Linked DNA regions of Bombyx mori. The main gene of each other region encodes a partner of the protein of the gene in region 2 in a complex. Links are inferred from orthologs where the notes say so. Each region holds a gene or a part of one and is shown on either strand. Other genes may lie near its edges.

Region 1 (5,401 bases), on a different chromosome or scaffold from region 2:
AGAACGTTTATCGATAAAACCTAATAGCATTAAAATCTTCTGAACAGCACTAAAACCGCCATGCTTAGCGGCCAGATGACGTCACAGTGTCACGCAATGGGCACGCATTTTTGGAGTTTACTCCTTTAGAATCGATTTACATATATAGGCCCGGGGTATGAAAATTATGGGGACCAAAATCGTACTAGCATGTCACACGAAATGCGTTATGCGCCTGATTGCGCATGTCACACGAAATGCGTTATCGCAGGTGACGCCGGGCTGCTGCGCCGGCAGTCCGCCACAAAGCCTCGTACTGATCGCGCGTTTCTCTCATTATTGTATTTTCATATATTTGTTAGTCGTTTGTTTTGTGTCTCGTTAATTTGTTAATAATCTGTAGTGTATCGTGTTGTCGTAATATAGAACTATTTCTCGTATTGTTTCGTTTAATTTTTTATATCCAGTAAACTCCAGTCGTGCGTCGGAGCGGACACACACACTTTTTTTGTTGACGTTTCATTTCCATAGGCTTCATACTTCAGTGCAATCATAGACCTTTAAAGTACTACTTCAGTGAGTGCAATAGACATCGTGATCCCGCCAAAAAGTTATGACATAAATTTTGATCCATACATTCGTTTTGAATTTTGAAATTTAAAAGGAATGAAGTATATAAAGTAGTGAATATCTTTACGCGCTCACTAAATTAGAGACGAATTAAATTAGAAATATTTCAACTGTTTTTAAGAATCTCAGAAGACATCGATTTCGTCAAATCCCCCTATAATTGTACAATTTCGTAATGTTTAACAGTTAACGGGAACGCGAGGAGTGAGGTTGTGTGAATTAATTATTTTTTATTTATTTTATGTTTAATGTGAGAAAATGAAACAAAGCTGCTGGACATGGCTAGTCGGGTTTTTCCAAAAAGTCCACTGAAGTTTTAGTAAATAACCAACATTTTACTGAGCCTTTATTTCATCGTGTCTCATCTCGTTTCATTACATGTCATCCCGATTGATACCAGTCTTATTTAATTTTATCTTATTTCGCTCTATCCTTTAACATGCTACAGAATATGCGTTTAATAATTGAAGATTTTTATAAACTCGGCATTAGTTACAATGACATCTTAAAAGTCGAAGAAGAAGAAGAAACAGTTCATAACCCACCCCTAATACACAAATAAGCTTAAAGACTAATTAAAACAATGTAGGTACATAAAGATCTAAAGTTCTCGCATTCCAACCTAAAAACCCCGCTTTATAATGTTTCATTTAATAACGATTTTCGTATCCAATCGATTTTTTTATTTCAATTGTCAAATTGCGTAGGACAGACTTTACTGATATAGTCCAATCTTCTAAATTAAAATTAAAATGGAAAGGAAAATACGAAAATGAAGATGGGATTAAGTTTATTGAAATTAAATTAAGATAGATTTACGAAGAAGTAAATTTAGTAAGTAGGCTATTTTATTGGTGGTACAGCGTACTACCGGTAAAAACCACCGCTTAGCCTATTTTGCAGCAGCGTGTTCCTATTCCGGGTAAAGCACGTCAAATTTAAGCTTAGCTTAACTTCTAAACTATTTTGGCCTAATTTCAATATGTTTCGATATGTTTGGTTTGCTGGACGACAATCAATTGGTAAAATCGATTTTTATAAAAATGAAATCGATTTTCTATAGTTGCAGCTGGAACATCCACAACACGTCACTATCTCAGTTACAAGATGGCGAACGTGCGGGATAGTGACATATCTTTGTGGCTCCACAATAAACTCGGTACATCGAACGATTCTTGGACAAGTGGCTCGATTTGTTCACAATTAAACGCTGAAGTATTAAAGAATATAAAAGACTGTTTTCCAGAATTACAACCGCAAGTGAAATTGAAATTATTACTAAGTTTCTTTCATATCCCGCGCAGAAATGTTGAAGAGGTATAACTTTTCAATTTGATGTTCGGATTTGCGTAACTGTTTAGTGTCGTGTCACTTTCTGTCACCCTGAAAAGTGATACGTGCGAGTGAGATGCCTAAATGTCAAGTATTTATTTGTTGTCGTAATGAATTTACATGTTGGATTTTACTGAAAAATATTTTTGAAAGGGTATTGTTTAAATTAAAATGAACAAATTTATTTCCGTATGACTATTTAATCACTGGGTAGTTTTCTATATTCATTTATAAAAGTTACAAAAATATGTTAAATGTGACATTCGAAATTAAACACATAAAAATCATGTTTGTTGCAAAATATTCAAGCTATGTTACACTATAAAATTCAACATGATAAATAACACGTTCTTAGTGATATGCCATGTCATTTTTTTAAATTGCAGTGACATAAAAATATTGAACACTAAATACCCAGACTACATTAATGCAATATGTGTTCCTGATATAATTTGCAAATTTTTTACTAAAATCATTAGTAAATAGTGTTTTTAAGTATTGAATTGAGCAAATTAAAACAAATGCAACAGTTTGTAATATCATTCTTACAATTTAATGCTTCTGTTGGTTCTATTTAATTCTTAAAATATTAATGGTAGTGTTTTTAAAAAGGCTGAGTAGCAAATAAAATGACATGAGCTATAGTCATATTCTGTTAAGGAAAAAGGATACTAGAAAATCTATTACAATTTATTACAATCTACTTTGTGCTTTAAGATGAGTCAAGCAAGATGCTGGTTATTGTTAAAAGGTGGCCAGGCTCCATAAATTGTACAGTTAGAGCTTAACTGTAACAACGTAAACACAAAAACGTGTTTAAAATTCAGATATAATTTGAAATAATTCCTCTAATACTGTTTGCTGAAATTATATTAGTCACTTAGTAAAATGCTGTGGAAGTTAAAGTTTCTTAATTTTCAACTTATTATATGCTACACTATGCTGAATACAACATATTGTAGCTATAATAAGCATAGCTAATAAGCTATTAATGGAAATATTACATTATATCTGAAAACAGCTTTAAAAGAAATATTAAGAGTTTTGGCTCAGTAAAAAATTTGGTATGTTTGATTTATATCAAGTTAATGGTTATTAAAGTAGGTACATCTACTTTAGCAGAAAGAGAGAACAGTTACTTTTATTTGCTGGGAATTGAATCATTGCCACAAAATTGCTAGAAAGAATTTAAATGGCTTAATGTTTGTTTGAGCCAACTGAGTCTTTTCTGCAAAACTACATGTAGTTTTCAAATCATATTCCTGTTTCTCGCTTGCTTCAAAACACCAGAATATCATCTTAAAACTGTATTCTAATACCAGTGGAAAAGTGAACTCGAGGAGATCCTTGAAGTTGCTGCAATGGATTCAGACCTCTGGGTGGCGATGCTTGCTGAAGTCCTCAAAACGTACCCCTCAGCTGGCACCCTTAATACAGAGATAGCAGAGTTTGATGAGACAAGACCAATATTTAGTGATATGATTGGAGAGTTAAGGAGAGCTTTAGCCAAACATTCGGATCTAGGATTATTACCGCTGGAGTGCCTGTATTTAAATAAGAATGCTTTAGTATCTGTGGTAAGTTTTATTGTGTTATTTTTTTCCATTATTTTATTATCTATATATATAAAAATGAGTTGCCGTTCGTTGGTTTCGCTAAAACTCGAGAACGGCTTGACCGATTTAGCTAAATTTGGTCTTGAATTATTTGTGGAAGTCCAGAGAAGGTTTAAAAGGTAGCTAGATATGAAAATGCTCGGAATTAAATAAAAATAACAATTTTGCTTTTCCTTTGATGGGTCCCCAGTCGGAAGGATTCCTTTTGTTTGTGTAAAGTTTATTTTATACAAAAAATTTAGGTCCTTTATTTATCGATTGAGGCACTACGAAGTCTGCCGGGTCAGCTAGTTATTATTATATGTAATTACATATTTGTGTCAATTAAAATTACCTATTTAAGTAATTAAATCATATGAAATATATGATAATTCAAAAATTCATTCTATAAAGCTAGAATGAATTTTTTTTATGCTGTTGTTTTTATCAATAATTTCTACCATGAAGAAATAACATTGTATTGTGACTTTAAATACTTTTCTGTCTATTATTGGGTCATAGCAATCATATATTCCAAGTTAAACGAAAATATTGCAATAAAATTGATTTAAAAAAATATATGTCCTTTCCAAAGAACTTTTTAAGTTGGAGCTGGCACCCTTCTATGAATGCTTACAGGTTGGCCAACAAACAAATCCGATAAAACATTTTACACTGAAACGGAAACCTAAATCGGCATCGCTCAGAAGCGAGCTCCTTGCCAAAGCTACAGAGGTTCAGGCAAATCAGAAGAAAGCTCAAGCTCCTACCGTACCAATACGTAGCAGAGGAATGCCTCGGAAAATGACAGATACTAGTAAGTCTTGTTATTAATAAAGTAGCAACTTTAAGATTCAATTGTAAACATTAAAAGCTTACAACAATTGTAGTTTTCTTGCTGGTATAAGCTGTCTTGTAAAGTTCTGTAAAAGTGCATAAATGTGGGAAAATCAAACAAAGCCGCTGAACGTAACTTCTCGGGATCCTCCAAAAAGTCCACTGAAAAAGTCTCAGTAAATGACCACCAATTTACTGAGATTATCTTTCATCCCATATCATTTCATTTCATAATATCATTTTTCATATAAAAAAAAGTTTTCATTAAAATTTAAATAAGACTTGACCTAAAGGTCTTAGTTACCAGGTCATTGAATCCCTTTAAAAAAACAAATGTATGCCGTGTGTGTCCAGCTCCCCTGAAGGGTTTGCCGTCGTTGGGCGCGGGTCGTGCGGCCATGCGCGCGGGCGGCACGGGCTGGCGCTCGCAGCGTCCCGGCATCAAACTCCTCGACATCGCCGACCAGCCTGCCACGCATGCGCAGATCAAGAAACGAAGAAAACTCGGTAACATATCGGTCATATCACAAACCGTCTCGCTGCTCTTTCGATTCTATCTATCTCTTGGCTTAATGGCGTTTCCTTTTAGATTTCACTAATGTCAAGTGTATATTATTATAATACTATGTTTTTTAAAGCGGGCTTCGTGAACGAACAAAGTCACAGATTGTAACTAAGAATTAAGTGAGTAGCTAAGATGCTAATATTTGAAGCTAAGATGCTAATGCTTAGCTAATGTTTGATGACAGAATCGCTGTTGTGTACCTACCTAAAATAAATAAGACGCACACAATATAACAATATATATAATGGTTAGTTGGTTAAAAGACAGACAAACTACAGCTTAATACCATTATGGTTAATGAATGAACTAAGAATATAAACGAAAGGGGAGTTGACAAGGGAAAGAAGAGATTTGAGATCAATGGCTCTTTGGATTCACAGATTTGATAAAAACCATCCGGAAGCTAATGAGGAAATTATGTACTACTTAAATATAATATTACGCCACTAAGAGTAACGCCATC
Region 2 (5,582 bases):
CCTAAGAAAAATACCATCAAGAGTGAGTAAAATATTTGGTAAACAAAAATATTTTGGGTATAATGTATATTACCTACCTGTTGCAATTGTAAGGTATAATTTCGTAGATCTTCGGCCATAGTTATATATTAAATTCAATCAACCAGGCGACAAATGCTTAATTTGCTTGCTTGATAATTTATCGCTTCAACTTTTTACTGCTGTTGCTTCAATGCTTGTCATTGCTTGACATCAGACAAATCTGACAATCAGTGCTCTCAACTTTTTTTTATTTAAGGATTTTTATGACCTGGTAACTAACACTTTTAAGGCATGTCTTATTTTAATTTATAAACTTATTTTTATGAAAAATGTTGGACGTTTAAATTTGAGGGGATTGGGTTCTGTAGGTAATGAGGGGCTATTTAAAAAAACACTGCTTCATTATAATTATATTGCAGATAGTTTGAACACTGTTACACCATTATAAAATTATTATCTTTATATTTTTGTAAAACTCTTACATGTTGCTTTGACCATATCTAGATTAAAAGTACTGACTTTTTCTTACGAGAAGACAATCATCTGTTTATTAAGCATTTAAAATAATTCTAATATTCAAAATCTGTAATCATGTGTCAAGTGTTGCCTGCCATTACATTTATATTCAAACTCCAACTAAATGAGATAAACTTTCATTAAATTAACCTGTGTATAGCATAAATTATGTTTAAATGTTTGACCTAAAGGTCTTTGTTACTAGTTCATAAAATCCCTTAAAAAAATATTTAAATATCATATCTATGGCATAAACTTCTCGGGATCCTCCAAAAAGTCCACTGAAAAAATCTCAGTAAATGACCGCCATTTTACTGAGATCTCATTTCATTTCATGCCATGTTTCATAGATTAATCAACTTCAATTCATTTCATAGTATCATATTTCATAAAATAAAAAATACATATAAAAGATTACGCTGTGTGGTATGATACCTGTGCCTTTCCATTTGGAAAAATAAAACTACTACTAGCCCCGTGAGCTCACCTACTTCACCAGGTTTGAGCCCCGTGAGCTCACCTACTAAAGTTAGGGTTACGCTGACATAGCCAGGTGAATGAAGTTAGCCCCTCAAAAAAATATTTTTTTCCTATTTTATACTTATTTTCTATTAATTCGTTTGTTCATCATTTGTTCATGATTGTTCACTGTTAATAATTGTTTGTTCTGCATTTATTTATTTAAAAAAAAAAATTAAAAATATACCTACAAGTTAGCCCCTCTAATGCAATTTTTAATATTTTTCATCCTTAATGACTCGTAAATATTCATTTTCGATTGTTCTTATATAAAACACGTTTGTTCTCTTTCGAAGTTACTCGTTTTTTGTTTAATTTACTATTTTTATTAGTTGAATAAATGTATGCAAAATATGTGTACTGCGCATGCGTCAACTATAATGGCTAAACTTTCTACGCGGTTTTAGTCGTGAAAAAAAAACAAATATAAATCCTGAAGGAGCAATTAATTGGTATACAATTTAATTTAAAAAATTAAAAATAAAATAAATATAAATATGTAATAGTCGGATTTTTAATTAGACGAAGCCAGCTGACAGTAGCTAATGTCACTTTGTGAAATAATGTTGCTATATTTAAAGTAATAGTGATGCGTTCAGTTCTCGTTCAATCACATAAATGAACAATGAGTGTGAAGAGTTAATCATTAATTTCAAACTATAAAAGAATATTATTTATATTTTACAATAAAATTGTATTAAAGTGATCCAATATAATAATATGTTACTAGTAGTATGTAACTACAATCAGTTTTTTTTATTTTCATTACCTATGTACCTATAATTGTTATATTTTATACATCTATAGTTTCAACTATATGATGCATTGGAAATAGGACAGTCTTACAAGCTTCCTCGCAATGTTTTTCTTAATGTTTAAAACAGTCGGTATTCAGTACAGGTAGATACCATAGGAACATAATGTTTCGTCGAAAACTCGTTGGTATGTACAAAGCACGGCTAAAATTCGAACCCCGTGCCCGATATCGGCAGTTCGGCACACTAACTATTCACTAGACAATCGAGGCAATTTCATTAATTCAGGAGTTTTTTCAATCGTTCACTTTGTCACAACACTATTTTTATTTCATCAAAAACTGACAACACAGTAAACGTCAGTTTACTTCGTCTAATAAAAAATTAGTCGGATTTTTAATTAGACGAAGCCAGCTGACAGTAGCTAATGTCACTTTGTGAAATAATGTTGCTATATTTAAAGTAATAGTGATGCGTTCAGTTCTCGTTCAATCACATAAATGAACAATGAGTGTGAAGAGTTAATCATTAATTTCAAACTATAAAAGAATATTATTTATATTTTACAATAAAATTGTATTAAAGTGATCCAATATAATAATATGTTACTAGTAGTATGTAACTACAATCAGTTTTTTTTATTTTCATTACCTATGTACCTATAATTGTTATATTTTATACATCTATAGTTTCAACTATATGATGCATTGGAAATAGGACAGTCTTACAAGCTTCCTCGCAATGTTTTTCTTAATGTTTAAAACAGTCGGTATTCAGTACAGGTAGATACCATAGGAACATAATGTTTCGTCGAAAACTCGTTGGTATGTACAAAGCACGGCTAAAATTCGAACCCCGTGCCCGATATCGGCAGTTCGGCACACTAACTATTCACTAGACAATCGAGGCAATTTCATTAATTCAGGAGTTTTTTCAATCGTTCACTTTGTCACAACACTATTTTTATTTCATCAAAAACTGACAACACAGTAAACGTCAGTTTACTTCGTCTAATAAAAAATCCGACTATAGGTACAAACTAGACGTGCGCTAATCATGTTCGGAACTGGATTGAACATGACATCGTTCTTTTGAGTGTCGGAACTAGTTCCAGTAAACATGTTCGCGGAACTGTTTAGTTTCACGAACATGTTAAGTCTAGTAGCTGTTTGTAGTTTGTAGCTGTTTAGTTCCGCGGACATATTAAGTCTAGTAGCTGTTTGAAGCTGTTTAGTTCCGCGGACATGTTAAGTCTAGTAGCTGTTTGTAGTGTAGCGAATCACGTATTAAGTTATTATTAATTACACAATATTTTTCAAAAAAGGTATTAAAAATACAATTTTTTAAAAGCACTATATAAAAATAGATTGCCGCTTATGGCAATTATTATTGTAATTATTATTTTGTAAGGTTTTTAGTTTTAGGTTCATTGTTACAGCTGGTTGCATAATTTATTAATGTACTGTAATTACTTTGTCATAATTTCAACTACTCTACTACTTTCATTATTTTTCAATGTAGGTATTGTACGATGCACCGGAAACTATAACCTATCAGTTGTTAATTAAAATACCACGTTATTCTGATATACAACGTAAATTAAGCTCGTTGTAGCCTTACAACCTTTTTCCCATAACCGAGATACCGAATAGCGAAAGTGGTGAATGTTTTAAAATTCTCGAATTTTGAATTATGATTTTCTAAGAAATGGTCCACAAACACTTAAGGTTAAGTGCTCGTAGGAATGATGCATGGTCAAGGTCAAAATCCATAGCAAAACATTTTAATTTATTCAACTATCGACTGTAACACGTAGGTCGTAGAGCATAACTTCAATATTAATAAAAATGTAATATGAAAGAGCTCCACACGCAGTTTCATGCACTCGCTCCATCTCACTCTCTCGTATTCGTGCCATATGTCGCCTTATCTCTTTACGTGGACTCGTGTCGTTTCGAGACTCGTTCGGGTGGACTCGCCGCGCCACGCCTCCGCGCCGCGCGGTACCTATGCTCTAATCATGTCCGCATGTCCGTCATGTTCAACGCGTTCGTAGTTCCTGCATAACAGTACACTTGGAATGGAAATGGAACTGTCTGAACATGTTAATTTTGACAACTCGGATTGAATGATATAGTTCCATATGAGGACATAGTTCCAGGAACTATTTAGGTCCGGAACTACGCATGTCTAGTACAAACCTTATTAACTCCATGGTACAAACCAATTCATTTTTCATAATAGTAAAAATTAAAATGTTGTTTAGTTTGAAAAAAAAGGTTTTTTTCATATTTAATGAATATTAGTTGTTTTAACTTTGATAATCAAGGGCCTCAGCATCATAAATTTGTTGTTTGTTTAAAGCTGTACGTGTACCTTTTCCGATTAATCTTTATTTCCGTGTAAACACGAATAAAAACACATAGTTATAAGCAGTAGCAATTGTTTTGATCAAATCTAATAAATATTATATTTTATAGAAGTTGAGTGCAACTTAATATACAACCATGCCTAGTCAGTATGAGGAAGAACGTGTATGGGATGGTCAGAATCATAATAATCAATATGAAGTAAGTTAATAATTTAATTGGTGCTAATAGGTATTTTTTTTAATATAGTGACTTATTACAATTTTAAAGTAAATACATTTTATGAATATAAACTGATTTTAAAAACTCATCATTTGTTTAATAAATCTGATGCTGAACAATATTTATATTATTCCATAAAAAACAAATTCTGTTAATTAAAACTTAGAAAAAAACAAGATTTATGTTTTGTTTCCCTGACTACCTAATTCTCTTACATCTATATATCCATTATCTGTTTTAAAAGTAGCATTTTATCTTTTTACTAATTTAAATGAATATTTATATTATTTTACCAATCCTTGTCATACCATTGAAGAGTGGTTAATATGATTAAAATAAAAGTTACAACCTGAACAAATGTAATTAATCCTTAGCCAAACAGAGTAACATTAAGAACACAAACTGAAACCTTAACACGAACTGAGAACAGGCAATTCATAATTTCATTGATGTTATTAATCAAAATAAGTACTTACAAATAATTACTCCAACGCATTTTGTTGTGATATGTAGTTTGATTTATTAAACTGGTAAATAACATTTATTAGGAAGAAGGAAATGAAGATGTTATTGAGAACCCTGAAGAGGTATTAAATGAATGTCTGGAAAAATTTAAAACTCCAGACTACATTATGGAACCTGGTATTTTTGGTCAGCTTAAAAGATACTTCCAAGCTGGTGGAAATCCAGAGCAAGTTATTGAACAACTGTCAATGAATTACAATGCTGTAGCTCAGATGGCCAACTTATTAGCTGAATGGCTTATCCTTGGAGGTAATTATTATATTTGATATAGGAAATAATGTTTATTTCTTCCATTTTACCGAATTATTTAGTTAGTTGTTACCATTCTACAGTACAGTAAAAGCTCTTTATTTGCAGGTATATTTTACATAAATATGGAGCAAATACAGATACAGTGAATAGGGAATGGTAGATTATATGGGAGTATAGGGGATATGTTATATATGGTTATGGATACACAGTATTCATGTGGGAACCCACATTATGGTGTATATTAACTGCTTAACTTCAGATAAGAGCTGTTCTGTCTGAATTAGTAAAAAAAAATTAGGATACACTGAGTGAGCTACAAGTATAACTTTGAGCGAGTAAGCCAGAATTGTACATTTTGAGTGAGAAAACCAGATGTGTACATTATGCCCGCTTACCTCGACTT

Evidence for each region. The genes of interacting proteins can lie anywhere in the genome.
Region 1: the proteins of negative elongation factor D (region 2) and negative elongation factor A are in contact, whole or in part, in a crystal structure (PDB 5L3X), measured with the Homo sapiens proteins. The link is inferred for Bombyx mori from reciprocal best matches to the Homo sapiens genes NELFCD and NELFA. Residues at the interface, in XP_047296144.1 of Homo sapiens: Cys204, Gln205, Gln206, Leu207, Glu208, Phe210, Ser211, Leu214, Arg215, Leu218, Ala219, Ile221, Leu222, Asp223, Gly225, Glu226, Cys241, His242, Gly243, Glu244, His245, Thr246, Tyr247, Leu248, Phe249, Ala252, Met253, Ser255, Val256, Leu257; in NP_005654.4 of Homo sapiens: Leu23, Trp24, Ala25, Leu54, Leu58, Leu61, His62, Arg65, Pro88, Trp89, Met92, Val93, Ile96, Leu97, Phe100, Gly104, Ser105, Leu106, Leu108, Leu110, Asn116, Val117, Asp119, Ile120, Leu121, Glu123, Leu124, Arg125, Lys127, Val128.

What each region holds. Positions count from the first base shown.
Region 1 is NC_085132.1:9,764,120-9,769,520, reverse strand, and holds the start of negative elongation factor A, read left to right. Parts: upstream 1-1,709; 5' UTR 1,710-1,716; coding exon 1,717-1,926; intron 1,927-3,263; coding exon 3,264-3,518; intron 3,519-4,175; coding exon 4,176-4,353; intron 4,354-4,727; coding exon 4,728-4,880; intron 4,881-5,401. UniProt on the Homo sapiens protein: Essential component of the NELF complex, a complex that negatively regulates the elongation of transcription by RNA polymerase II.
Region 2 is NC_085111.1:9,518,806-9,524,387, forward strand, and holds the start of negative elongation factor D, read left to right. Parts: upstream 1-2,221; 5' UTR 2,222-2,843; intron 2,844-2,872; exon of another isoform or gene 2,873-3,135; intron 3,136-3,160; exon of another isoform or gene 3,161-4,177; intron 4,178-4,291; 5' UTR 4,292-4,318; coding exon 4,319-4,381; intron 4,382-4,950; coding exon 4,951-5,176; intron 5,177-5,582. Other genes in the region: survival of motor neuron-related-splicing factor 30, read right to left, coding at 1-1, 78-119. UniProt on the Homo sapiens protein: Essential component of the NELF complex, a complex that negatively regulates the elongation of transcription by RNA polymerase II.